4 linked regions of the Lytechinus pictus genome follow. The main gene of each other region encodes a partner of the protein of the gene in region 4 in a complex. Links are inferred from orthologs where the notes say so. Each region holds a gene or a part of one and is shown on either strand. Other genes may lie near its edges.

Evidence for each region.
Region 1: tectonic-1-like (region 4) and transmembrane protein 237-like share a complex: the UniProt entries of both Homo sapiens proteins name them as parts of the tectonic-like complex. The link is inferred for Lytechinus pictus from reciprocal best matches to the Homo sapiens genes TCTN1 and TMEM237.
Region 2: tectonic-1-like (region 4) and transmembrane protein 17-like share a complex: the UniProt entries of both Homo sapiens proteins name them as parts of the tectonic-like complex. The link is inferred for Lytechinus pictus from reciprocal best matches to the Homo sapiens genes TCTN1 and TMEM17.
Region 3: tectonic-1-like (region 4) and centrosomal protein of 290 kDa-like share a complex: the UniProt entries of both Homo sapiens proteins name them as parts of the tectonic-like complex. The link is inferred for Lytechinus pictus from reciprocal best matches to the Homo sapiens genes TCTN1 and CEP290.

The regions. Positions count from the first base shown.
Region 1 is NC_087245.1:17,041,657-17,048,975, reverse strand, and holds the start of transmembrane protein 237-like, read left to right. Parts: upstream 1-4,316; 5' UTR 4,317-4,369; coding exon 4,370-4,387; intron 4,388-7,319. Other genes in the region: uncharacterized protein LOC129264684, read right to left, coding at 392-683, 1,289-1,483. UniProt on the Homo sapiens protein: Component of the transition zone in primary cilia. Required for ciliogenesis.
Region 2 is NC_087246.1:15,644,043-15,651,592, reverse strand, and holds the start of transmembrane protein 17-like, read right to left. Parts: upstream 3,004-7,550; 5' UTR 2,907-3,003; coding exon 2,807-2,906; intron 1-2,806. Other genes in the region: 2-Hydroxyacid oxidase 1-like, read right to left, coding at 6,217-6,275, 6,983-7,052. UniProt on the Homo sapiens protein: Transmembrane component of the tectonic-like complex, a complex localized at the transition zone of primary cilia and acting as a barrier that prevents diffusion of transmembrane proteins between the cilia and plasma membranes.
Region 3 is NC_087263.1:11,081,171-11,089,048, forward strand, and holds the start of centrosomal protein of 290 kDa-like, read right to left. Parts: upstream 3,013-7,878; 5' UTR 2,865-3,012; intron 1-2,864. UniProt on the Homo sapiens protein: Involved in early and late steps in cilia formation. Its association with CCP110 is required for inhibition of primary cilia formation by CCP110.
Region 4 is NC_087250.1:19,610,222-19,617,415, reverse strand, and holds the start of tectonic-1-like, read left to right. Parts: upstream 1-4,187; 5' UTR 4,188-4,215; coding exon 4,216-4,438; intron 4,439-4,555; exon of another isoform or gene 4,556-4,560; intron 4,561-6,117; exon of another isoform or gene 6,118-6,906; intron 6,907-6,984; exon of another isoform or gene 6,985-7,194. UniProt on the Homo sapiens protein: Component of the tectonic-like complex, a complex localized at the transition zone of primary cilia and acting as a barrier that prevents diffusion of transmembrane proteins between the cilia and plasma membranes.

The sequences.
Region 1 (7,319 bases), on a different chromosome or scaffold from region 4:
CCCATCAAGACGATTGTGAAAAATCATCATTGGTTAATTTTCACTAAAAACCTCCAAACATCTCAATTTAAACATTACCTATAATCTAATCAAATATAATCCCATCTAATCCAATCCAATTATAATATTCTCAACAGACACAGCAGCTCAATGACCATCCCCTCCTGGCTGTGACGATTTCATAGTTGAAATTAGGCAAAAATTGTTAAAATAATTATATTTTATGAAAGAATAAATCCATGAAAGCGATAGAACTTTCATTATAAGTTTTGATTATATTATTACACATTTTTAAAGATTCCAATGTGAGAATGTCATTCCAATTAATATGATTACATTATAAAAGATTTGCCAAATCTCTTTGAAGATATGCTCCCTTTTCAAACAATACCTTCAACCTGCTCTTTGGTGAGTGCAGGTTCGGGTTCAGCTGATTTCTTCTTGCGTCGCTGATGAGGAGAGTATGACATGTCATCCATTCGACTACCGCGCCGGTTATATGCACCATCTCCAGGGTGGCTGCTCCCTCGCCTGCCGGAAGCTGGACCCCTTCCGTAGTCAACAGTACTCTGGCGTCGACCTCCCGAGCCAGTCTCCGGTAGCACGCTACCTCTTCGGAGGTACCCGTCGCCCATGGTGCTGCCTCGCCTTCCACCAGTTGCTACGCTTCCACGACGACTTTGCTGAGGAAAAAGAATATCATGATATAAATCTATTTTCCTATTAATTCATGATATCTATCTGGTTAAAATTAAGATCCAGGATTGACCAGAGAGGCGGGGGGGGGGGGGGGGGGCAGGTCCATAACTTTTTCTTCATTTTCACAAAATAATAATAATAAAAAACATCACTAGGCAATAATTGCCTCCTCTTGGCGCCAGGGTCAGGGAAAGAGCCCCCTCCTCCAAACTTCGAAGGCCTACACACTAGCTTGTATTATCTATTAAAAAAAAAACACCAAATATTCCATTAGTCCTTGAGCGGGGGGGGGGGGGGCATCTGGATCAGCCTCTGTCTCCAGATAGTATATTATGTAATACTCTCAGGGAAGTAAAAACACAATTTTTTTGATATAAGGAAAAACCCATCTATTATTCATTCATCTATTTATTATTCTATCATCATCGTCATCATGATCATCATCTTCTTCTTCTTCACAATCACATTGCCATCAATATTCATTTGGAGAAGCTGTAGACCAAAAGTAATATTAACAGGGTGATATCTGGTGCCTGGCTGGCTTAAAAAAAATGGACACCATGAAATTATTTTTGTTCATTTTACATACCCCACTTGACGGTATGGTACTCTTGCTTCTTCTTTCCTGATCTTCAGATTTAGTTCGAAATCTATCGGAGCTACTCGCTTTTGGTATAGCCCCAATACTCTCCCTGCTGTTCTTGGTACTGTAATTGTTATTCTTCAACGACTCCATGTCACTGCGGTGGACATATATCGCCCCTCTTCTACTTACATCCGACATGATTTTTGTTTATTTTACCTAATTATGAACAAAACAAATATTTACAAAAATTTGGTCTACTGTTACTGAATAGTGCTTTTTTTGCTATTTCCAGAAAGCCGAAACCAGCCGTACGTTTTAGTTGCTCGTCATTTTACATCGAGTCGACTTTTCTGTTCGCTGTCTACGTACCGGTACTCGTGTGCATGTGTCATGTGGATTTGTTTATGTCTGACGTCACCGTGGGAAAGTTTACTCGAGACATCCCGTGACCCGACCTATATTACGTTTTGGTGATGTCATAATGGATAAACCAAAGGATCAACAATAATGACAACCGCGCAAGACGATGGGTTCAGGCTGGGTTCTGGGCGTATTCTGAAAACCGTGTTATCTGCGTGTTATCTCATTTCGTGTTATCTTCGGCTCCTCCCACTCTACATCTATTTAATCCAATCAAATGCGCTGTTAAAGAAACAAATCGCGCAAAATTTTCAGGGAAAAGGGAACGTGCGCACGGTGATACGAAGCCTGCATTGTGACATCATTCTGTAAGCGCATACAGCTACTAGTAAATAAAAGTTAGAGCTAGAAAGAGACGTGGGGAGGGGTACGTGATTGTGACAATTAAGAACTGAATTGAATTTATTTTCATACTTCACAAGATAACAAAATAATAACATAATACAAGAAATTGATTATTTCAGACAGCATGGATACGAAATTATAACAGGAGACAGAGGCCTCGATCGATTGTGGAGCGGGCAGGGGACGATCGCCCTAAGATATGGGGGCAAGCATAATTTATACATGCCCCCAATAATTTTGAGAACTTGAAAAAATAAAAATGCAAATTTTGAAAAGCATGAAAAGCACTTTAAGAAAAATTAAATCTGACATAGAAATATCAAACACAAAATTGTATTTTTTTCTATATTATAATTTGATGCGTAGAGCGATCAGCCATGCAAAAAAAAAACACTTTTGACCGCCCCCTCCCCCCATCCGAAGCATATAGATTGACTGGCGTGATAGATAGATTGAGAATAACCTAGAAGCATTGAGAGTTAAAAAAAATTATTGGAGCTATATAATCATTGAAAAAGGGTTTTTAAAAATGTGAATATTATAGAAGTTTCCCCAATTGCTAATTCCATTCTTTTTAATTTTTGTTTGTGCTTTTCTTTTAGACGTTTGTAATTTTCTTCCTCTTTTTGTCTTTTTTATATCATGGCAAAAAGTAACCAAATAAATAACTCATGATCATATATGATAATGATTTTAATTAGTCCAAATCAAAGATGCATTTAAATTGTATTTTCATAGGAAATTCCAAAGAAATTGTTGTTTAATCATTGTTAGTAGAGACTAAAGGTAAATGGAAAAAAGAAAGAAAATTACAGTAAATCCTGCCAAACGATAGTTATTTGCCCGTTTATGTTCTTCTTGACGTTTGCGTCTGCTAGAAAAAGTGCAGCCATCGTCATCCCCAACTTAACCTCTCCTTAACGCAGTGTTAAATTTTCGTGTTATCTTTGAACAAAATTTTAGCTAACACCATTTTCAGAATACCAAATTTCGTGTTATCTTCCTCCCTAACACCGCGTATGGGGGTTGCGCGTTGCGCACTGCGTATTTCATGACCTGCGCGGTGTTACCACTTGGGCCACGTGTTTTTCATGCTAACACGATTTTCAGAATACCAATCGTGTTAGCTAACACCACACCGTTTTTGTGCTAACACGGTTTTCAGAATACCGCCCCAGTTCACCCCCGCCCGCACCCCACCCCACCCTTCACCTGCGCTGCGCGCTCATAAAACTCACGTGTCGGATGGACACGTGATATAATACAGGCCCCGCCCTTTTCATGATCGTATTACACATTTTGCACGAGACATGGCAGCATGCAGCATGAACAGTCGCATATTGGATGTGTGGGCCTAAAATAAAACAAATTACTAGTATATGACAATTTTTAGTTTATATTTTTTTTTCTTCACAAAACTCTTGGTCAATGCATACGATCCTGTTGGGATCATGTATGCTATGAGAATAACGGAATCGATCGTTCTGTTTTTGTTGTTGTTGTATTTTGTTATAAGCATTGATCAAAATGTTAAAATTTTACAGATTTGATGATTAAAAAAACCCACTCCGAATTATGACTAAACAAGGTCCGTGAGTATTAAAACAAACCATTATTTACATTTTAGAAGGATAATGTAAAAATTCTTTTTCAGGTATTCATGCAAATAATACAAATAATAATAAATATAAAATGAAAATATAGTGAATGTGTGACGAAAGGTTGTGCATTCCCACTTGCATATCGCCATTGATGTGCATTTCATTCTGTTTTCTGCTAATAAGCGAAAACCATGTCGTACTTTCAATTTTACATAAAATTTCAATTAATTTTTGTTTGCATTATTTTTATTTTTCCTTCATTAATTCTTATTGACATTGTTTTATTTCTACCAATGATGGTAACCTGTTGTGTAGGGCAACCGATATTAGATAACTAGGTGAGAGTGAGACTCCCATAGGCGAATTATATAATTTTAGGGTAAAATCTAGTGAGATACTGAGATTGATAGAAATGCATGCAAAATTTAGAGTGAGACTGAAAAGGGACCAAAATGAGTGAGAGTCACTCTCTGAGTGAGAGTTTGCAGCCCTGTGTTTTCATATCATTTATATCATTGAATGTTATTCATTGTAAATGCATGAAATGATTATTTGGGTGTATTTTGTGTTGGAAGTTAAATTGAAACTGAATTTGAATAATAGATAAATTATACCGGTAGGCCTATTCGTAGGTTTGGGTGGCAGTGCAGTAGAAAAAAAAATCCGCACTATTCTCGTGTCGTCCACAAGAGGGCAGCACTGAAAAATTCCTTTCGAAATGGCTGCCGCTGTCTTGGTAAGTTTCCAATAAATTAAAAATGCTTGTATCGAAAATTACTGAATAACTTAGCAAGAATTTGACAAATAACCAATTCGGTATACTTTCAGCTGTAAGCGGGTAAATATTTATTTGCATTTGGTGTTATATTTGTAGATAAAAAGGGCTTCTACAACTTGAGTGACTGAGTGAGTGTGACGGTTGAATTGACGGTTTGTTGAAATTGGGCACCGTCCTTGGAGCTGGTCGCGTCGGGAGTGGCTGGCGCGACCTGGCCGCTGTGGAGACGGCTACTCCGGCTAACTCCAGTGACAGTCCACGCTCCGCGACTCCAGCTCCGAGACCACGATCGGCATTGACCACGTGGTTCATTGATGTAGGCCTACAGTGCAACCGTTACCTGCCACCTCGTCTCATTTTACTTTTGATACATTATTTGGAGTAGATCTACCACCTACATGATGTATTGACCTAATGTAAATGCCTTTTTTGTTTGGACTTTGCCTTGGCTGCCTTTAAAAGGCTTTATTCCTGGAAATTGAGGGTCTAGCTTAAAAAAGTATAGACCGTCGATACGATACTCGATAGTGTCTTTTTTACTAGTGAGTCTATACTTAGTAAAATTTACTCATGTAGGCCTAGGTCTGAACTAGTTGTAACACTAGTACTATCCTACTACTACTACTAGTAACAGGTAACTAACAGTAACATACCTAGTCTATTCTAGATTTTTAGAGTAACGTTAGATCTAAGTCTATTGAAAATGTTTGAGAAATCAAATATTTTGTCTGTTTTTACTTTAATTTTATATTTTTAATTTAGAGTGAAGTTCAGATTTCATGTTTATTTTTAGAGCAGCGGCCAATTCACATCATGAACATTGCCAGGGAGATGTGCCAGCGGGGGCTTAAATTGATGTTAATACCACCTTCTTTCTACGTATAATAAATTTAAAGGCACGGCCATAGCGCTCTCTCGAGAATGTGCACAAAATTTGTATAGGCTCGTTGGTTCGCTTGTCAATGCGTTGATGCCAATATCGTGGCATACGGCTAATGTTAACCCTTTGCGTGCGACGGGCTTCCACAGAAGCCCAGCGAGTCATTCACTTAGCTACGACGGGCTTCTACAGAAGCCGAGAAATGTTTGGTTTAATTCAATTAAGTTTTTCAGCTTTTTCGTAATTGTTATGTACTAAAACCTCTGCCACTATTTCCTTCATAAACCTATTTCGATAACAGATTGAAAAAAATATACAGCTACGTGGGGAAAAATCCCGAAAATAGGAAATCATTTCAACTTTACCCGATTTTTTCGTTGGAGTCGGACGGGGAGGATAAATTTTGTGACGAGCACGTACGCGCGCGCATAAGGCCTGATCACGTGATTTGTTCTGATCACATGATTTGATCCATATCGTTGTTCTGGTAGAGCATCTTGGTTTTCCACGTATTGGCAATAATAATAATAAGACATCAGAAATGCGAAACAAATTCACGAGTAATGCAGTTTTTACAGTGCCAACATTAAGTTCTTTTATTCTGATAGATATACGCTAACATCTTTTCTGCAAGATCGTCACGTAATAAGCTACGCGTTTCTTCACCATTTTCGTCTTATTTGTTTCATCAAGAAGATATCACTCTAGATAGAATGATATCTCCTTGGTTTCATCGATCGATTGCATTTTCAGAAAAGCAAAAAGCTTGTAATGTCTTAGTACTTTGAGCTGATCTCGGTGCACTTTTGAACTTTTTCCCTCCCAATCATCCCTCTTCTTCTCATTATTTTTGTCTACTATTCTGAAAAAAGGAGAAAAGAAGGCAGCTTAGCACACCATTCATCTTCTGCTCTTTTCAAAAGGGGAACGTCCATGTAGTTCATGATATCGGCACTACCCGAACAAAAGAATGTCTGGGCGGCCACTCAAACAAATTCCTTTCGAAAAGAGCAGGATACAAATGGTCAACGCCCCGAACAAAAGGAAGATTAGTGTTTATCGGCAGGATGACCCATTGAACGCTTTTCGTACTTAGCAATACAAAAAGCTTTTATGAATCATTTTTTTCGACCAACATACCGTATCTAAAAAAAAAATGTCTCATTACCGACAACACAGGTGCTTATGACATCCGTCAGTAATTCTTATTGCAAAAAGGCGCTTCCCCTGGGTGATGATGCATATAAGGATGAACGAATAATTATTTAGGGAAATTATCGAAAAAATATGTTCAAATGTCAGGGAGGACGAGAGAGAATGAGAGACAGAGATAAAAGGGGGAACAGACAAGTGCGCTTTTGCTAAAATTCTATGAATATCTACTTAAACGAATTACAACATGACTTTATTTTTTGGTTAGATTACTTTTAAAAAATCCCACAATGTTTGTTTCTTGCAACTCGGTCATCAGACCCTTCCCAAACTTATGACTTTTTATTATTGTTCTTGTTTGACCCCCCTCCCCTGATGGAAATGTTCTGACCTACACTCTAATATTGCTTGTTTGTCTCCTGTCTCCGATTTTCTGTTTTTAATTGCGAGTAACGCGGTAGAAAAGATAAGAATAAAGACCGTCCTGGACCCCTTTCCCCCCCCGTTACGACCAAAAAAAAAAAATCGCATTTGGGGCGCTTACCATGGTTAGCATCTAAACCATTTTGGTTTAGATGGTTTGGAAAAAGAAGGGACAGCAATGTTTTTTATGGTGCAGGTGTTGAGCTGTGGGACGGGGATGAAGCGGCTAAAAAATACAATTTGTTAATTCATGTCATTTTACAGAATGAATTTATAATAGGTTAGGTTTTAGAAGCTCTTCATCTTATTTCCTTTTCTCACCCAGATTAAAACTTTTGCATTAAAAAGTTGACGGAAACATAATTACTTCAAATGATAAAACCAATAATGAACTAAAAGTTTCCTCGCGCGAAATGGAGGAAATAGAATGATACA
Region 2 (7,550 bases), on a different chromosome or scaffold from region 4:
AGAAATTATCGATATTTAGGGCAAAAATTATAAATTACTTTTTAAATCTATCTCTAAGCATGCCCACAATTTCATTTCATTTATTTATGTGTCCATAAACATGTACAGGGGCAGATCTATCTTTTTCCAAGGATGGTTTTACTGAGAAACTTGACAAGAATACAAGCCCCCCAAAAAGGGTTTCACTACAACTTACTACAAAATGAAAGTCATTTTGATCCCAAAAAATTTGAAAAGCACAAAAAAGTAGTTGGCTTAAAAAGTAGGTCATTCCTTTTTTTTTATTTGCAGCCTGCCTATGGGGGGGGGGGCATTTAACCCCCCATACCCTGTAGATTCGCCACTGCATGTCACAAAGATTAGCAAATTATTTTTACTCTCCAGAAGCACACAGAATTACAGTTATCGCCGTATGCTATTCTTTCAGTCTTAATACAGGAATAATCACTTTTCTTACTCTTAAAAATTATTTTAATATTTCAGACATTTTTTCTACCATCCAAGAGCAAATGAACATATGTAGAACCTAGTTCAGCAAAACAACTTTTGATGTAGTCTTGTAGATCTACAGAAACTCTACTAAGCACAAGAGGTTATCAGTTATCACAATTCTGTGATAGACATTCCGCATTCAAATTACACAGATGCTAGCTCGGTAATGGTACAGGGCCTAGCGCATTTGATGTATGATTATGAGGATGATCTCGTAGCATGTGCATGCACCATGAACCTACAACATGACTGGGCGAAATTTTAGTAGATTTGAAACTGAAATTTGACTTGAGTCGGACTTCTGTCGAACGTTAGAGTAGAGACTAGAGTGTTAGTTCATGACAGTGACAGTGTCTCCTGGATCAGGGGCGGATCCAGCCTTTGCCAATGGGGGGGGGCAGATTTTTTTTCAGCCACATTTTCCCCGATCGGCTGCTCAAAATTATGTATTTTGTACTAAAATTTATACATTCTGGGCAATGTTTGTGATCCTAAATGAGATGTGTATCTAACTAAATTACTGCGAGCACAAAGCGCGAGCAGAATTTTTTAATATCCTTTTTGATCTGATAAAATATCATGTTTTTAATAACAGCTGCTTGCAGTTACCCATGAAGATGTTACATATTTCAACAATTAAATAATGTGAGCTGAAAATAAGCGTGAGCTGGAAATTTTGACATTTCTACCTGAAGAATGGAAATTCTAAGCACACTTTTTGTAATCGTGAAAAGGATAAGTATATAATTAAATAATTGATGCGAGCTTGAAGCACGAGCGGAAAAATTCGAGATTTACACCTAAAAATGGGACACTCTATTCAAGTTTTTTAAATTATGAAAAGGATGAGTAATTGGAAATCTTCCTATAATGCGAGCGTAAAGCGCGAGCAGAAAATTTTTGATATTGTGATCTGAAACTGGATAATGATTCAAATAGAGAAGAAGATTTTGGCCTAAAATCTGGGCATTCTAAATACCCTTTTTTGTCATGAAAATCAATAAGGCGATATTCCAATCTGAAAAAGAGTCAATTTAAGCTCTGTATTTCAAGCACTTTATAGGAAAATTGTGAGGTGGATATGGATCACAGTTAAAAAAGAGCTGATAAGTTTCATTATTATCACTTTGAGTTTTGATATAGGACATTCTAAGGACATTATGTCATATGAAAATGATCACTATCTTCCTATTTCTTTTCCTAAGCACAAGATGAAACTTGTCGATATTCCATTCTGAAAAAAAGGGACAATTTGATTACTCAATCAATATCTTATTCATTAATCTAATAAGCCTAATGAGAGTGAGAAATCTGTTGATATTATGGCCTGAAAACTGGACATTTAATGCACTTTTGTAATTATGAATAAGATGCATGAGTTAATATATTTCAACAATCAATGCGAGCGCAAATCACGAGCCAAAATTTTTGATAAACTGTCATGAAATGGGAATTATATGTTATAGAATTAATATTGAGAAATACATAACTCACCAATCAAAATGTGAGCGTGCAGCGCTAGCTGATACGTTATGGCTATCTGACCTGAATAGGGATAGTTTGAGAACTTTATGGAATACAGGAAAATAATAGGTACACCTGACGAATTTGCAAGCACGCAACGCGAGCAGAAAATTTTAATATTCAGACCATAAAACATACATTTTTACAGAGCACTTTATAAAAATCAATTTGTAAATCAAATAAAAACAATGAAAGTTCATTTTCCAAGCTGAAATGTGATTTGTATATTGACTTCAAAATTTGATATTTTAAGCTCCATATTAAGCAAGATATGTCAATCACCTAAAAAACAATGCGAGCACGAGCACGAAGCGCCAGCAAAAAATTTAGGCCTATAATAGGAAAACATGAAATATTTTTAAAAATTATTTTTCAAGTCTTCACCTCATCTTATTTTATTTACTCGTCTTCCTCCTCTTATGTTTCCCCTTCTTTATTCTCCTCTCTTCCCTTTTTTTTCTTTCTTTCCCCCTTTTTTTGCTCCGCCAATAGGGGGGGGGGCCCGGGCCCCCTGGATCCCCCTAAAAAAATTGCGCAGATACACGTATGCACAGACTGGGGGGACCAAACCTTATGTTAGCATAGACAAGACAGATATATAGCCTAGATTATTGATATACACTAAAAGTAAAATGTGATGCGAGGTTCGTTACATACAGACGAACTGATCATTGTTCATGATATTGATAAATTAATAAACCGTCCGCAGATCTATCACTAGACCTACAGCAAATCGAATGTATGGGGCTACATAAACGAATTCGCTCTAAAAATTATTTCTTGTGCTCACCAGGTTTTAGCATATGATGCTGGCGCTTTACAGCATTTCGAGTTGGAAATACAGCTTCTGTAAACGACGTCAATTTCTGCCTCATATAATCACCAGCCATGTTTATTATGGGAATTTTAATTTTTCTTCGAATTCGCGACGCTAACCCGACCGGACACCTTTTCGTTGTTGTTGGTATTTTGTTTCGTTTTTAAAGCGTAAGGTGTCTCTTAATTGAATAAATACCGAATCGCAAATTGTTTCGGTTTCTCCATTTTTACTTATTTTTATTTGGCCTATATATACAATCAGTTAATTTAATCGTTATCTTTAGCTAAATGCTAGCGCTGGCAACTTCTATTTAAATTAATATCGAAAAAATACAGGAAAAATAGACCAGTTTAGAGAATATTAAGGCAGGAATGAGGACCACAGAAAAGTCAATAATTTAAACTTTTGAAAGTAGGCCTATATCCTATAAGATACTGAGAGAAAAGCTGCAACGAAAATAATTCATTTTATCTCTTCTATTTTTTCGTCTTTCGCCTTTTATTTTCATTTTTTTTCTTTTCCTCTATATTTTCATCTGTTACTTCGATTCTGCCACCTTTCTCCATTTCATCAACTCTTTTTCTTTTTTCTTTGTTGGCAGCATTTTAGAAAAAAAATGTGTCACACACCCCACTCGTATACCGACGCCACTTAGGCCTACTGTGTATAAATGATTCACATTGAGACGCTTGTTGGATTTTCAAAACTGACCGTTTTTATGCATGTTTACAGAATTCATCACAAAAAAAGATATATCAGAAATCGCAAAAATTGATTATTGTAGCGCAGCAACAGATTAAAAATATGTTTAAAAAAAATATAGGACCGTATTACGTTATGTACATTAATAGAGGCAATTCGTTTTTTAAAAGACTGAAATTCTGCTCTATTTGGCAAGTAATGTTGTTTTCACCTATTTATTTCAAGAAGGAAAGAGTACTTATAATTTTGAAGTATTCAAATACCTTTTTCTTCAAGTTTCCTTTATTTCATTTCGACTCAACAAATTACACAAATATGAAATAATATCCATACAAATCAATACAAGGGAATACTATGTATAAGCAATATATCAATACAAGGGAAATAGATAAATGTTTTCGGTAAGCCATAAACAATAATCATAATATGATATATACCATGATGGTAAAACGAAATGTAGAACAATCTCGATTTAACATCTGCAAGGCTATTTTAATATAACTTTTTAATAGAATAAAAGTTGAGGAATTGGAGGTATCAACTGAAAAGCAGGGCTTGTTAAATGTGGATCCCTTAAAGAATTGGATAAAAGATCAGTACGAGTATCATACGAGAAGGAGGGGTGGGAATAAATAAAGTTGATGTGATGATTGGTAAATGGAATATGGAGTTGATGGAAGGAGAATGAAAGAAAGAAAAGAAACCGAAAGGATAGGGTGGTGCTTAGGTTGTCGGTAAAAGAGGAAGAGGGGAAAGGGAGAAAAAGGGAGAGAGAAAGAGAGAGAAAAAAAAGAGGGGAGGAAGGAAGACAAAGCTGGCTACCGATCGCTTTTTCTTTTTTTAGCTTCATTTAAAACAATTCAAACTAGCGGCATTTATAATGTCATTGCTGAGAGAATTCCGGTATTTAGGACCGTAAAAAGTCATTAGAAACAATTTGCAGATTAGAACTATAAAAGCACTTCAGTACTCAGATTAGCCAACATTAAAAAATTGATAAATAGAGCATAGGCCTACATATTGATTAAAAGTGTACAGGATTGCAGGCCAAATAATTTTGATTCACTCTTACAAACCAATTTCTATTAAACACATATACAATACAATGCAGTTATATAAATGATGCATTATCATATAAACATTTATATATATATATATATAAATGTATATATATATGTGTATATAACTATATATATGTATAACTATATATATATATAAAACTATAACTATAACTATATATATATATATATATACAAACATATATATATATATATATATATATATATATATATATATATATATATATGCAAACATATATATATGTACAGTATGATCAAACTTGTTACATCACATGAAGGGGTATAATATTATTAACAGAAAACAGTCATTCAAAAAATTCATTGCTTTTCCGTCTACCTTTACATTTATATATTTACCTTTATATATATACATATATATATATATATATATATATATATATATATATATATATATATATATATATATATATATATCAGTATCATTAAAAAATAATCCAAATCTAAGGGTATATTCTTATTCCTTTGCCAAATGAAGCGGCGCGATGGCGGACACTGTAGTGTCAGAGTGCACTCTACTTTTTATTGACTTTTTACTCGACTTCAAACGATAGGTGGAGGTGTGTGTTTGAGCGTTTCCTTTCAGCCTGTATAATCGTCACGGCTGTATATCACATTTTAAAGGTTGATCAATCAATCAGTCAATTTTTACCACAGTCAATAATCTAGGCCCACTTACTTAGCCGAATCACACTTAAATAAAGAGAATATCTTCTCAGAAACATAGACCGACAAACTGTATTAAGTTACCGTCATTTTCGCTTTTATTCATTTTGAATTTGACATTAATTTGTATACTATTTCGTTTCTTTAACTTTTCAATTTTGTTTACTTCAATTTTTCTATTGTTAATATTATTTTTGCATTATTTTTTTTCTTTGATCAATTTTGTAAAGTCAATTTCATTTTTGTTTTATTTGCATTCAGTTGTTCACGGCCTTGTTGAAAAAGCAGCTTTTAGCTGGAAGCAGGCTTTTTAACCGTGATTAAATGAATAAAATACAAATTTAAATAATTTGTGTGTGTGTGTGTGTGTGCGGTGTGTATATGAGTGTGTGCGTTTTTGTGTGGGTGAGTGTTGGCGAGACGATGATGTTGGAATGTGGGTGTATTTGCCTGAGAATGTGCCTATATTGTGTGAGGAGTAAGGATATATATTGCAAATAATCTTGACTAAATGATTCCGATTCTGCGGATGGGTAATTAAAGGGCTTTGTATCATTCATTCTTCCAGGATATTCTTGATGGTGGTCGGGATCTTAAGCCGTGGAAGGCCGAGTTCGGCAGACATTCAGAGGCACTAGCGTACCTAAGGGGGGGGGGGGCAGGGGGAGACTGCCCCCTGACGAGTCACAACTCATGCAGGGGACGTATCCCTGCCCCCCTGACGAGTCACAACTGATACAGGTTGTGGTTGAAGACTTTTTTTTTTTTTTTGCTTGTCAAATTTTTTTTCTGGTAAGAAATCCTTTATTTTTGGTTGAAGACCTTTTTTTTTTGCTTGTCAAATTTTTTCGCAGACAAAATATCCTCCAGAAAATTTGCCCCTCCCCTTCTGGAAAATCCTAGGTACGCCAGTGTTCAGAGGTAAGATTTTCGAGCTATCAATGATGACGGAATGTCTTGGACATTGGTGCAACCTGTGAAATATAAAATAAATACAATATGTGAAACACAGACATCTGATTAGTACCGCACAAGCTTTGGTTTTAAACCCACACAACTTGAGGACCTCACTAAGCATTTTACATCAATGGTTAATATGGTGTTAGTTTGACACCCACTATGATACTGTAATTACCGGTTGTCATTTAAAAAACTGTTTTTAGCTCAAACTTCGTATTTGAAAATCTTGTACCTCTTATACATCGTACAGCTTTTACAGTGTAGGCCCGGAGTGTAGGCTGACCAGCCGAGCTGCAACTCTGTGATTTCGGAATGGCATGCATACTAGACCTACTCTGAAATCGTATCAATACTGCACTTTTTTTTTTTTTTTTTTTTTTGGGGGGGGGGTAAGGGGGCTGCGCCCACTGTTCTCAGTGTGTGCAAAAATTCTCATCACCTCCACACATACACACACTACACACACACACACACACATACCGATTCACTTGGATCGATTTCCATTTGGACCTCATGGAAGATAATAGAGTGGTGGGCCTTCCAACCAAATCTGTTTTCCTTTTACCTTTTTTCCTGAAACATTTTTGTATATTTTTATATACAAAAATATAATTGTATATATTCTTTAATGACACAAATTAATGAATAAATATATAAAAACAATACCCCCATGAACCTGCATCATACTAAATGACTTAACAATGCGAAATGTAAAACTGACCTGAAATGCCCAGAGCAGAGTCCAATTCAAACCGTAAGATCGATAATACCTTATTGACTCCATCTGCACCCTGCGTATAAAGTAACGAATTGCAAAATTATATGAATGGAATTATACCAAGTCGTAATAATTATGTTATAGATTTAACATGAAATTAGAGCAGTATTTCATGACTTCTACATGTGTAGTAACTTTAATCAGATGTTCCTCTGTATATCTCAGTTTAAGGTATAAAGCAGGGGCGGATCCAGGATTATCCAAAAGGGGGGCACATTTTCCCGAGAAAAAATTGAAGAGCAACATAATAATAAAAAAATATATAAAAATAAATGTCTTCACTTCGGTCCGTATGAACGGCGTATTTCCATTAAAGATATACCTTTCAAAGGGGGGGGGGGCACACTTGTGTAAGAACATTTACTTTAAAAATGTTGATTATGGCTCTCAATGGGCCATGGCCCTGGGAAGCGGGGGTGCCGCGAAGCGGGGGTCTCGGGACCAATTTGACTTCCATTTAGTAGTGATTTTTTTTTTTTTGCTTTTCAAATTCACATCAGCACCCTTAACA
Region 3 (7,878 bases), on a different chromosome or scaffold from region 4:
AGTGTGCCGGGCCAAAATCCAAAATGGCTGCCAAAGCCCCCCAAAATCACAGTTTTGGCCACAACTTTTTTATTTGGTGGTAATTTTCTCTGGTTTTGGTGTCTATTCATATGTTTTTGGGGGCAGGCAATTTGTTTTTCCTATAATTAGTACTTTTAAACCATTATTTGTAGAGTTAAAAGGTAATTTTACCTAAATTTTCCCATTTTTGTAGCCTTTTTTCAGCCAAAAAGTAGGTTTTATCATCCTGGGGTTCTGGGATATTGGATGGTACGAGGTCAACAATAGCAAGCAGCTTCATGTAGCTATATTGCTTTTATTCCTCCACTTTGGGTTTTACTGATATTTGTGAAATACATCTTATCAAATAAAAGAAAATTCATTTATCCATAGGGGCTATACGGTGTACAATCGGCACTGTACATACTACAATGTATATATCCATGCATTGACCACCATGGCATATGACAAGGCCTGTATATAAACTATAGTGTCATAGAAATGAGCTTCAAAGGTTTAGAATTAGATTGTGAATTTGATTCCTTGTCAGCTAGCAACGTAAATTACACTTACATGTAAATATCACATACAATGTATATATACGTACATCACATTTTTATCCATATCTTCTTCATTTTGAGGCTTTTATTTTAACCTGGTTCTGGTGTCTAACTGGACTATGTTTATGGGGTCAGGTAACTACTAGTATCACGGTAACGCTGATCAACAGCCAATCAGAATAAAGGATTGCATGCAAGTTACCATTAAGTTAAGTTAACATAATGGTAAAATTTTATGCAACGGGGCCCAGAATAGCTACAGTGTAAATTACCTCTCTCCGCCCCCTGAATTAGCATATTTGACAAAACATGTCCTCAATTTCTGAGACAAAACAAATCTTCAATTTCTGAGGCATCTAATTCTAAACCTGAGAGCTCATTTCTATGACACTATAGTTTATACAAGCCTTGTTATCTGTCATAGTGGCCAATGCATTTATGCAGTGCAGTATGTATGTACAGTACATTGTACATACTGTATAGCCCCAATGGATAATTGACATTTTTTTATTTAATAAGATATATTTCACAAATATCCATAAAACCCAAAGTGGAGGAATAAAAGCAATATAGCTATATGAAGCTGCTTGCTATTGTTGACCTCGTACCATCTAATATCCCAGAACCCCAGGATGATAAAACCTACTTTTTGGCTGAAAAAAGGCTACAAAAATGGGAAAATTTAGGTATAATTACCTTTTAACTCTACAAATAATGGTTTAAAAGTACTAATTATATGAAAAACAAATTGCCTGCCCCCAAAAACACATAAATAGACACCAAAACGAGAGAAATTGACCACCAAGTAAAAAAGTTGTGGCCAAAACTGTGATTTTGGGGGGTTTTGGCGGCCATTTTGGATTTTGGCCCGGCACACTTTTTTCTCGGACCCGAGACAAAAATTATTGTCATTTCATGTTGAGATACATTACAAGGAATGAAAAAAAACTGTTGTCATATTGAAATTACAAAAAAAGTATTTTTGACCCATGTATAGCCCACTCCTATTATTATTTTATTTTAATTGTTATTATTATCATTATTATTATTTCCTGCTGCAAAACTATAAAACCAATCATATCATTTCTTTGTGATTGAGTATATTGGCACAGCTACACATGTGGGGCAAGGGGAGGGGGGGGTGTACATCCTTTTCATCACAATATTGCTCTTTTAGCTTTAATTTTCTGGTAAAATTTTCAGGAAAATTCAAAACTGGAACTCTCTTTGTCTTACGAGGTATTTTAATGCCACAGAATCAGCACGATTTTGTAAGATTTGGGATGTGGTGCTCCATAGACACACACATAATGACACAGTACACACTATAGGGGCCTGTGGACAAGGGTAGATTCAAGACTCAATAGCGGGAAAGTTTGAAATTAACACTTGTAATTGTCAATGATGAATGAATAAAGTGTTGCAAATGACCTAAATAATACAAAAAATCATGAAATTAGGATACAATAAGTTGCAGAATCGAGATATTATTGATGATTTGAACTATACCCAAAATGTGCAAGAGCACCACCGTAACTCGGGAGGACGTGCGACGCCGGGGAAGAAGGCTTTGTTAAACATTAAACATCATGAGTATTGATGAATTTTATATGTATTGATTCGTTATACATTCCTAAATTCGAAAATCGACACGACTTATTTTCCGAACCATCCCTAAATTAATTATTGTGGCCTAAAGTCACCTTATAATTACGAGCCTGTCTCTTACGATTTTTTTTGTAAAATTTGACGAGCGCCCTCTCGCAACGTAGTGGTGAAATTAACCAAGATGGCGCGACACATATACTTTCCATTGACTGCGTGTAACGTGCACGTACGTGAGGCCTAACTGTTAAAATTTGAGGTGAACTGAAATTTTTTTTTTTTTTGCTTGTCAAATTTTCAAAAATGTGCCCTCCCCCTTTTTGGGGAAAACCTGATCCGCCCCGGCCCTGCTTTCTTATTAGAGCTCAAACAGTAAGGGCATCCTTTCAAATGCCAGTCCTCGTTCCCTGTCGTTTTAAGCCCTAGCCTAGCCGGCCAAGCTTTGCCTTTGTCGGACTCGGAGACGGAGTACGAGTTTGGCCTTCCCGACGTCCGACTGAGCAGAGACACGCAAGCTGGCCGGCTGACCTCGGGAAGCTCCGGGGTAGCGTGCAGTCAATGCCGCCAGCGCACACAGCCACTTTTCGCTTCGAAGTGGAGCAGCCTAACTAAGATTTTCAGCCGCTAAGCACAACGTTAGCGTCTTCACAAACAAAACAATAGGGCATGAGAAATTGAAACCATGTCAAGAGAAATTACCGATTGTTACCAGTTACAAGCAAATCGAAAAAGGTATTCTTGTTTTCTCAGCCGAGCTTGAGACAGCTACTGAGCTAGCGAGACTGGCGCCTTCTTTCATCCATTTTTGTAAAGCGTCCATCACAACGCATTTTGCAACGTAGATGGCAGCATGCAAAGGCGGATTCAGGGGGGTGAAACTCCGCTTCTGCATCCGGTCAGAATTGGGGGAAATTTTGGAGGGTCAAAAGTGCACACTGCTCCCATTTTTCGTATACAAGCCTATGGACACCGCCACTGTCTTGGTACACCAGCGAAATGAAGGCGTGGTCATGGAACGTCCTTCGCGCATAGCGTAAAATATGTAAATTAGTATTTTGTCACTAATTAGCATAATGCGCGACCTGATTTAATATCGTTGGTGTCTGTGATTACATCATGTCAGATCATTCGTTTTTTTCCTCCTCAGAGTTTTATTATTCATCTATTTTAATGATCTTTTTGTTATTGCCTGTTAGATTATTACTGCATCGTTGCTTTGTTTTAGCTGCAAATGGCCAGGGTCTTTGCTAAAAAATATTACAGAGGAGGTTCCCAAAGAAAATGTTGCCATATGCGATGACATCTCTTTATGTTTCTGGAGCCCTTTTTTCTTTTTATTGCAGAAAACGAAATGAACCTTTTTTTCATAATATAAACAAAGATAATAACAAATCAAGTTCTTTTCCATAATTTTAGTCTCCAATATAAGTCCTATTATGAATAGCAGTCCTCGGAGCACTTAATTTTAAATGGCGACTTCTATGTCAAACATCAATAATCATGACCTAGGTATATACCATATTTTAGGGGGGAGGGGGTTCTCAAAATTAAATAGGCAAGAGAGCAAACCAATCGTAGGCTATAGGGTATTTCTTTTTTATTTTCAACTGAAAATGTATCTGGTGTAATTTTCATATGGAAAGAAAAAATACATTTTATATGTATGTTTCAAAAATTTGGAGAAATAATTATAGCCCCCCCCCCCCCCCGTTGCCCGTCATGAACAGTAAGGTCTTATAATTGCTTCTTTCAAAACAAACTGAACTTTCACCCCCCCCCCCATCTCTCTCTCTTTCTGTCTTGTCTCTCTCTCAGAAACTGACATAACTATATGCATACAAGCAAATAATTCTCCTGTCATTTTACTTTCTTTCCCACTCTTATCCTTATTTTTCTTGAATAATATTTTAATTGACTGCTGTTTGATCTCATGTAACAGTGGCATCATCACATTTCAGTACAGTGCAACATCTTGTGCCATTTGTGCATAACAGCTCAGCAGCAATACATCATCACAATTAATTGATAAATGAAAATTACCAAGATAAAAAAATTCAATTCAAAATTAACATGTTTATTAAGGAATGCATTTTCTAAAACATTGACATTAACATAAAAAAAATAATTAGCATCTACCAAGCATTAAATTGTATTTTAAAAAATGAAGGCAATGCATAGCTAAAAAGGGCTGTTACTGGGTAAGGGTAGTATGGGGTGGGTATATAAATGTACAAAAATAGGATTAAGTACATTTTTCTACATTGTACAATGTTTGTTAAAATTTCATTCAAAGGATCTCGATGAGCCTATAGTTAATATTCCATAAAAGAGCATAAAAACCTTTGATATTCGTTTATTTTCTTCCACAAAAGTTTGTCACTCAAAAAAATTGGTAAATTCCTTTCAAATTTGCTGACAAGAAATAGTCTACTGATGTGAGAGCACTCCTCATAAGGGGGGGGGGGGGTGGGACACAATGCCAGAATCCTAAAGAGTGCCTTCCCCAATCAATACATTAGCGAATCATTAACAAAATTTGATTTGTCTACTGTCACTGTGGTTAGAATTCAATCTATTTTTGAAATATAGTCTATTTATATATTATTGCAGTGGTAGCCCATTTCACATAACGATAAATGCAACTTAATAACCCTACATAATTTATGAAGACTTGCAGTGGCGTACCGTGGGTCACGGCATCGGGGGGGCACCAGCAAAAATTTTGAGACCGTTTCATATCTCTTCTTGGCACTTATGTTGTGATACCAGTACTTAAACAGCTTAGGAAGTGGGAAACCTGCATGGTAAAAAAGAGAAAAGAACATAATAAGCTGTAAATTATTTTTACTCATCTAGTCCAGTTTAGTAAAAAAAAGATGTAAACTCTATTTTATATCTTCAGTGATAAAACAAGTTTAGCACATGCAGTCACTTTCGTCCCACATCCAGATAAATTCATATATCAATATAACTATCTACAGTATGTTTTGAAAATAAAGAGTGCAAATTAATTCAAATATTTATCAGAATTTTGTGATAACTGTAATAATATCTTGGGTTTTTTATGCAAATGCATGTATAGACAGGAGATATGGATAATTAGTATGCAGTGTTAGAAATGGAAATACTGGTGAATCTGAATTCAAACAAATATTAACTTACAATGGAACTTTAACATTACATGATATCGCATCATGTTTCAGCACAATTGGCCATAGCCCACCCCCTCCCAAAAAAGGGGAAATATTCTTTTATTTATTTATTTATTTATCTTTTTTTTTGGGGGGGGGGGGTGATGAGCTTGGATACAGCCTGTATATTATCAAAACAGTAAGCATACCTTGCAATTTTTCCATTCAGATATCCTGTTCCTCATTAGATTGTAACTAACACTTGCTGATCGGCATGGTTCCCAATTTTGTACTTCTGACTAGGTGTGAACTGCTAAGAACTTGGTCCCATTGGATCTGCAATTGACAATTTAAATTTGAGAGTTTTAGAGATAATAAAATTACTCTTCTTAAACAATATTTTTGAAATTTCCAGCTGCCCATATCCCAGGTCTATGAATGAATATTCCAAACTAGAACAAAAAATTTATCTGGACCCGAAACTTCATTCTCTATCACATAGAGACATAGGCCTACCTCACTCTGTTTATAAAAGTAAAATGATTCCAACCACATATTTCTACAGCTGTATATAGCTGAATCTGGTCTATGCTGGGCCTGTATAACTTAAGAATCACATCACATTTGAATGAAGTAAACACTAAGAACGTTTTCAAATTACCACCCAAGGCCGGGCCCAGGGTATCCTGTTCAAATAGACTTGATTTAGGTCTAGGGTAGGCTATGCCATTTCATTCAAATCTAAGACTAAGACAAGTGACACTTAACATAACAGACATTAATGCTAAGACAATCGTATTTCAACACTGATTATTCTGAAGTAAAGCGTTCCTGAATAAAAGAAACTGCTGAGAATTATACTTTTTCATATGAAGATGAAATAGAGGGGACGGACTAGGCCTATATAAACTTCAACTTTCAAGCTTGAAGTTTGGGCCTAGTCCGTCCCCGCTATTTTCATACCCCATGACTACATCGACAATCTCGCTAGCCGGCTAGCACCGGCGATATCAAAGGCCGGATCCCGCGCGCTCTGACCATATCCCTACATTGACCTAAATTTGAATAGGCCTAAAATCGACAGTTTGTCGTTACTAAAAAACAGGAGGTCGGAAACAAGTCCACATCTACCCCTGATAATTGTCTAATCACAATAAAACTGAAATAAAGGTTTACTTTGGACCTACATGAAGCATTCCGATGAATGTCTAGATCTACGACAAACTATAGACCCCTAGTCCTAGATATACCGGTAGTATTTTTGATAAACTCAATGATCACACTTATTTGGAAGTCAGCTCAGGCAAAAGAAATATTGAAATTGAGGTTTACATAGTGCGTAATACAGGATGAGCCCCGAACCCCGGCAAACACATTACAATTTGCAAGTGAGATCAAAACATGAAAATGAGCGTAACTTACTTTTATTCCTATGGAATGTCATTAGAATAGTATTGATGTTCCCTCCAAGATTTTCCGCTCCAATGAAGTTCACTCAGAAACCATGATTTCGAACATCAATTCTATAAACAGATAATTAGTCTAGCTATTTCGTTTCAGAAACTTCAAATTTGCAGAGTCCAAAAGAACGACACTTCGCACAGATATCGTAGGGAATTGTGGGACGGAAAAAAATGTTTAATGCATGAGTACATGAATAAAACATTAGCGTTTAATCCAATCATACAAGTGCATTATGCGTATTTTGACGTCATTCTCATGAATAAAACATTGACCCTCCAAAATCATCCTTCAAATTGTCCGCCGGCAGCCATGTTGGCTATGTACAAAACCTATGGGAAATAAAAACGCGCGGAAAGAGTTCCCTCTCTAGCTCCCTTCGGGAGCTTATACGTAAGATCGTATCTCTGTGGGCGGATTCTTCTTCTAGTACGGTACCGGTACTTTGGGCTATCAAGTAAAAACAATGACTATTTTTTGTTACCCGGTTTTGACTTTTGCCACTGCTTTTTTGAGTTTTTTTTTCTTTGCAAGGATGAATAGCTTCTTTCTCCTTCATTATTGTTTTTCTATTCTATATTACTTTCTTTTTTCTTTCGTCTTTTCCTATTCTTTTCTTTTTCTCTTTTTTTCACTATTTTGTTTTCTTTTCATTTTGTCCCCTCTATTTTTTCTTTACTGCTATTTTGCTTTTTATCTTGTCTTTTTTTTCTTTTCTTTGTTTCTTTTTTTCTGTATTTTGTCTCCTTTTTCTTTTTACTTTTCTTTTCTTCTTTTTTCCTTTTCTTTTTTTTTCTCTTCTATTATTTTTCTCTTTTTTCTTGATTCTTTTTTATCTTTCCTTTTCTTTTCTGTCCTTTTTTTGCTTAATCTATGATTTATCTTATTGTAATAAATAATCCTTTTTTGCCTTTGTTTTGAATGCAGGAATTTCTGTCTGTACCTGTCTTCCTTATCTTTCTTTGCTTAAGTTTGTGCCCCTGAAATAGGCACATGCCTACTTTGCCCCCACACAAAGTCAGAATATAGTCCCTGAACATGAGCTGATGCTATAAAAAGCGATTGTGCATGGAACTGAGGCTTTGTATCAATAACACCAATGTGATAAATGGGGTGATAAA
Region 4 (7,194 bases):
ATAACCATCTGTAGATCTGCATATAAATTATATGCTATACTTTTTTTTTATTCCTCTTTGATTTTATTGACGCTTCGGGATTCAAATATGAAAATGCAGCGAGACCCGCTAATGAGGAAAATTTTTTGTTGTTGAATGAATACACCACAGGGCCGTGGAATGGTTTTGAAAGCGGGAAGGGGGATATGCTTTCGATGCAAAAAAAAATCACAATCGATCAGATGGTCATTTTAAGGTTTTGTACATGGTTTTGGGAAGGGGGGGGGGGGCTGAAGCTCACCCAGCCCCCCCCCCCCCCCACCGGTTCCGCGGCACTTGCACCAACTGAATATTATTTGTGGATTATTTTGTGATCCTTATTAGATTGCTTTACCATATCAGGATATGCAGTGGCGGTGCTTAGGTGTTTTTCATCTTCCACACCCCCACACACACGCACAATTTTTTCAGTTAACGTGTACACAAATGCAAAAAATACCATTATTAAACGGTTTACATTTGTGAACTTCTCCCTCTAAACTTTATGCGTACAGCCTCCCCCTTCTAAACTGTTCCTCATTATATTTTTATACGAGAGAGCAACCTGAGCGACGGTAGCATTCCTTTATCACAAAAAAACAGTGATCAGTAAAAACGTACATATCAAGGGTTTCTGCCCAAAATGGCTTGATTTTGGCACTATTTCGAGTAGAAAACATTCATTGTTCTCCCTTCAAATGAAGAAAGGGATAAAAAAAATATATGATTTTATTCAGTTGCCATCAAGCATATAGGGCCTATATATTAGAGCCCCAAAAACTGAAACTTTCATTTATGCTGTAGTATTTTTGTTTTATTGTACATAGCAAGGGAAACTTGCCAATTTGGAATATTCATGACGATGTGCATATAAATGTTTTTCACAACATATTGATAAATTTTTAAATTCAATAACTTTGTTATTTTGTTATCCGATTTTGATCAAATTTTGTGCATTTTACTTTTTGAATTTTACTTTTTTTATTCAGATATAAATATTTTCAGCCCGGACCATCCCTTTAATTTTTCTTTATTCAGTTCAGTAGCGTAAGGAACAAAGAAATATATTTGAAAAATAGAGGGGCAAAAAGAGTGGATGGGGCCAATATTTGAAAAAAAGATCTCGCAAGTTAGCAAAACGAACGATCTTTCTAGGAAAAACTATGATGTTGTATTAATTTTGACGATATATTAAAAAAATATTATCATAATTCGGTCATTTCCATTTCCTGTTCTTTTTTTATACTAATTTTCTTGGTGATAGAACTTAATGGGGCGCCACGGGCCCTAACCCCCCCCCCCCCCCCCCCCCCCCCCCCATCTGTACGTTCCAGTAATTTATTTCCAATCTCCAAGAGTTTCATTCTTACTTGCCAAAAATTGATCGACCCTGAACTAATTTTCAAAGTTAAACTCCTGCGGGCATGTTATATATATTTCATTTCATTTATTTCCATATCCAACAACAAAAAATCAAGTAACATAGTAGGCCTATTAATCGACCAGTTCGTAGTTACCTCATGGACAATTTTCGGTCAAATGACCTTTCATTTCTTTCATGATGATAGGCAGATTTCAAAGCAAAATATTACGTAAGCTTGCCTTACATAGCAGGATGAAGAAATTGAATAGACCAGGTGACTAGAATAGCACACCAATGAACACTTTATGAAGGTATTTGTACGGTTGCATTCCTACTTTGAATGCATATCATAGCATGTTGCACAATGTACTTGGCAAACTATGAAAACCCCCGGTGAAAACCAGTCGTTCGTGGACGCGTTGTTGTTTTTTGTGGATGTAAATGAAAACCACAATTCAAAAGAATATATGAATAATCAAGACATCAAAGTTGGTGCTTATCTCATTAGATTTTAAACCACCATGTCACTTTAGTACAAATAACCTTCCTCTGATCATGCGTAGAATCTTTTGATCATGCGCAGAAAGGATTAACTACGAACTGGCTTAAGTAAAACAGTGTAAAACATTGAAATTAATATTATGTATATAGGCCTACATAGGCAGGAGTTGGTAACTGGGCTCGTAGATCATTTAGATGCACCGGGAGATTGCAGTCCCTTTAAAATTGTATTTGTCTTCGTGCATAATAGTAGAATGATTATCATGATTATCATGACCAGGGGCCCGTTGCAGAAAGAGTTGCGTTTAAACGCAAGTCAAAAAATCAATCGCAAGTCCCAAATGCGCGCTGTTGATTGGTTGAAAATCAAGTTACGCATGATTTTTAGAGTTGCGATCGATTGCAACTCTTTCTGCAACGGGCCCCAGTATACTCTTGTAATAAAGTAAGTTATTCTGCTTTACCACTGGCAAAGGTGTGTAGGCCTATAGGCCTGAGTACACATGGGGGTTATAGTTCCATGACCCCCTCCCCCATACAAAAATAAGATAGAGAAAGGGAAAGAAAATGAGACCCAATACATGAAGTTTCGGATTTATATATTTTTTTCATATTATTTCGTCAAAATCTGTCACAAAATTATATCTTTTAATAAAAAAAAGAAGCCATACTTTATAGCTCACATTCAAAACAAATAGTTTGCCACGCAGGGTATACGATACTGCCTCTGAAAATTGTTGGTTTATTAAACATAAAGTGGGACTTGTTTATTTGGTGCCCGATCGACCCTATACTTTATTTCAAAACAGGCCTAAATGAGCCCCCACGGCAATTACACATTATGGTATGATTCAGAGGCGTCGATCCTGGGGGGCAGGGGGGCGATCGCCCCACCAATAAAAATATTTGGGGGGCAAACATATCGTTTTGCCCCCCAATAATTCCGCATGTGCAAAACATAAAATAAGATTGTAATGTTACACAGATATCAGCAAGCAAGATTGAGATACACAACTATTTCTTTATTTAAAAATCATGCTCAAATTGTCCGCTTTTCCGATTGGAATATAAAAAAATTTCAGCTCGCGCTTTGCGCTCGCATCATTTCTGTAGCAAAAACCCATACTTTTCATTATTAAATAGATGAATAGAACGTCCCGTTTTTAGTTCTAAACCTCAAAATAACTCCCGCTTCGATTTGCAATAATCTTTTTTTGGATATATGTCTTGTTCTTTATTTAAAACGTCCATTAAAGTAAAAAAAATTCAGATCAAAATATCAAAATTTTCAGCTCGCGCTTCGCGCTCGCATCTATTGTTTTTTAAGATACCCATCATAATCATTGGTACCAAGCAAGAAATTTCTACTCGCGCTTCGCGCTCGCATTAATTTGTTGGTGAGAAATGTGTCTCTATCTCAGTCATGAGTCATTATATATATACACACACACACACACACATATATATATACATAATATTTGTGTGTGAGTGTGTATACACACTCACACACACACACATACATATATATATATATATATATATATATAGGCATGTGTGTGTGTGAGTTTTTTTGTTTTGTGTGATCGAGCGCCTTTGGAAAGTTGATTCATGATTTTGCCCCCCCCCCCAATCTGAAAAAGGGATCGACGCCCCTGGTATGATTAACTGCCGTCGAAGACCCCATGCATACCTTACTGATTTTCATGATGCCCCGCATTGCGCACAACAACAAAAAACGAGAAAAAAAAAAGAATTGAGCTCATTCAAAGAATGGAGGCGCCGAATTTTCAAATACACCAGTAATATACAGTTGGCCGAATCAGGGGTGGATCCAGGATTTTCCAAAGGGGGGGGGGCACATTTTCCAGAGGAAAAAAATTGACAAGCAAAAAAAAAAGGTATTTAACCAAAAATTAAGGACAAAGTTACATTTTGCCCACGAAAAAGTTTGAAAAGCATAAAAAAAAAAAAAAAAAAAATTCACTTTAAAAACTTATGTTTTAACGGCATTTCTACATTAAAAAAATTAATTTTGCCTCTCAAGCCCCCCCCCCCCCTACGGGCCGCTAGTGGGAGTAATTGTAATTTTTCAAAAAGAAGAAAATAAAATCGTAAAGATACACATGCACAAATTAAGAATTGATATTTTTTTATTTTTTATTATCATTATAAGTTTGCAGCCAAGGAATCAATAGGTCAATATTCTTCCGGCTGGTGGTGTGTTTTATTATTTTATTATTATCATTATTATTATTATTTGTTGTTGAGGGGCGTAAATGAACCCCCCGGCCCCGCCCCCAACGCTGATATTATTATTCATAACCACAGACAAGATGGCGGGGTTGCCAGCAGACGCCAAAATAGTTTTGATTCTCTTCTGCGCTGCGGTACAGATTTTTCCTTCAACTGCTCAGACAACACCCACAGGTATTCAACAAAGCACAAACAACCCAGTATCAACAGCAACCACCCAAAATGCCCAAACAACACAGACTCAGCAACAAACAACGACTAATCCGCCGACTTTGCCTTCAACAGAGGTGCCCGCGAATACAGGTAAAGAGTACGTAGATGATATGCGTGGTCCCATATATTGACATTTGTGTGTTTCAGTTAACCAAAGTGCGCATGAAGCCATGTAGACAATTCTTTAGTGTTAAAAAAGGGGGAAGTTCACCCTGACGAAAGTAAAAATAAGCAGAATTTTAAGTCTAATAATAATTTAAAAAATATTGGTGAAGTCAAGTGAAGGTTTGAGAAAAAAAGATTAAGAAAGTTTACAATAATACAAGTCCAAGACAAGTACAAGTTGACAACTTCATTTTTTTTATTTTTGATGTAAAAAAAACAAGCAGCTGCCCCATAACTTATCACATAAAATGCAGAAAATTTCATTTTTTTAATGGTTCATGATGACTTATGATGGGGTGACCGTATTTAGTGCACATATTGGTTTTCTTGACAATTCCAAGACACCTAGATTAGATTATATACCCTTAAAAAACGTCCAATACCTCAAAAGAACAAGAATATCTTATCTCACATTTCATGGCTTGGAATTCAAACTTCAGATTAAAATCAATGTAATTTCAAGAAATTTGTAACGCCTACCGACTTCATAGTCTGCTCTGCTCACATGTGTGACCTAAGTTTGTTGCCCTTTTGTGGTCGACAACAAGTGTCAAAACGCTCGATAACCACCTCGTATTGTCCAGCACATACCAGCCATTTGAGTAAAGTTCGAAATAGGCAATACTATTATTTTTTATTGATATTTTTCCAGGTTGAGAATAGGCTTGTGCAATATCATGGATAATAATCCTCTGTATACACATCAATGACCGTCTTATCAATAGATTGCTCGTTGCTGAAAATTTTAGGATTGGGAGGAGGTAGGCGCCGGGCAAGGGCCAAATGATTGATTTTAAAATTCAAAGACATTTTTCTCAAAATCATGCCAAAAATTTACTTCTCATTTCCATCATATTCAATTTCACCATGCAAATCATTTTGTTATTATTTTTTTTTACTTGCTTTTAAGATTATATATTTAGGCCTTCATTATAAGTAAAAGCTATTTTTTCACAAAAGGCGTGCCCCCACAATCATCACCACTGTCACTACATTTATCATCCCATTTTCATCATCATTACCACAATTTCCATTGTATAATATGACTACAGGATCTATTCATTATATCATTATCAACATTTCTCACAAAAAATTCACATCATTGTCAACTTCTTTCGGGGCAAAATCATTAGACCCCCCGCCACCCATTCTTATTGTTTTGTTTATTGGGGAATGAAATTTATTAAGGGAGAATGAACATGTTCTCTTATCAGCACACTTAATTCATGGCCACATGAACACAGCAAAGGAGAATGAAGAAAAGACACTAAGTTATCATTTGTATATTCAACTGAATTTCTTGTTTTCATTTTCTTTTTTCATTTTCCATTTACAAATCTCCTTTTTTTTTTCAGAAATAAAAATTGTTTACATATTCATATATTCACATATTTTACATATTAACATATATATATATATATTTACATATTTATATATTCATATATTTACATATTTGCATATTCACATAATTACTTATTCATATATTTATATTCATACATATCAACATATATTTCATTGTTCCGTCTCACAAGGGAACCTGAAAAAAAAAAAAATGTGTTGCCAATTTGAACTTGTCCGGCCCAACCAGTGTTTGCAGGAGTCACATTCTGCCCAGTTAATGACAGTGCCCATGTCAGAGGCTGATGGTGGATCGTCCAAATGGCACTGGCAACAACGTTCGTCATCATCTGATCTATCCTCAGAAATGCGAGTCTGGGTCGTCTGCTCGATGGTGGAAGAACGGTAGATCTGCAGGAAGATTCTGTTTCCATGATGGCTACCCCTCTGACTATTCTTTGAAGGTGGAGAAGGCTTCTTGGTCACTAACGATGCCTCCATAGAGCTTGTTGATGGGGGATGAACCGGATGAGGGGTGTTGGCATTGGTGATTGCACTTGGTCTCATCGTCCTCTCGATCTCTACTGCTTCGGGGTCAAATGGGCAGATTCCAGACTTCCTAAATGCTGCCTTGAGGTTGTCCTCTCTCATCGCCTGTAGGTATGCGTGACTGATTAGGCTTGTCATGTCAAATCTAGAGATTGACCTTCCAGGATGCTTGGAGAGGAAATCTGTGCACTGACTGTTGAATTGTGCCTTCATCGGATCGAAGCAGCCGACGTCGAGAGGCTGGAGAATGTGACTTGTGTGAGGGGGAAGAAGGAAGAGTATCACGTTGTGCTTCTGGGCTTCTATGAGGGGAACAGTTATGTGGCTTTTGTGTCCATCATACAGTAGGAGAACTTGTTGCTCAGCTTCCCGGTCTGGCAAGGATCGGATTAAATGCTTGCTCAGGAACCGACTGAAGACATCACCATTACTCCACCCACTGTCCGTCATCTTGAACCTGCTGCCTGGTAATGATTCCCAAGTCAGCTCTGCCATCAAGTTCTTCCCTTTAAATACAATATAGGGTGGCAATGACGATCTGTCAGCTGATCCTCAGGCAAGGAGTGTTATGGTTGCTGAGCGACAGGAAACGATTGAAGGCGACCTCAATGGTGAATGCTCCTGGTTGAATCCTGTTTCATCAACTTTGTATATGAACCTAGGTTTGTCCTTTAGGTCATACTTTATCAGGATCTTGTCCAGTTCTTGGTAGTATCAGGCAATCCTCTCCGGTGTTGTGGATATTGCCGTAGTGATAGCCAACAACCTTGGGCGGATGACTTGGAGAGCTGGCC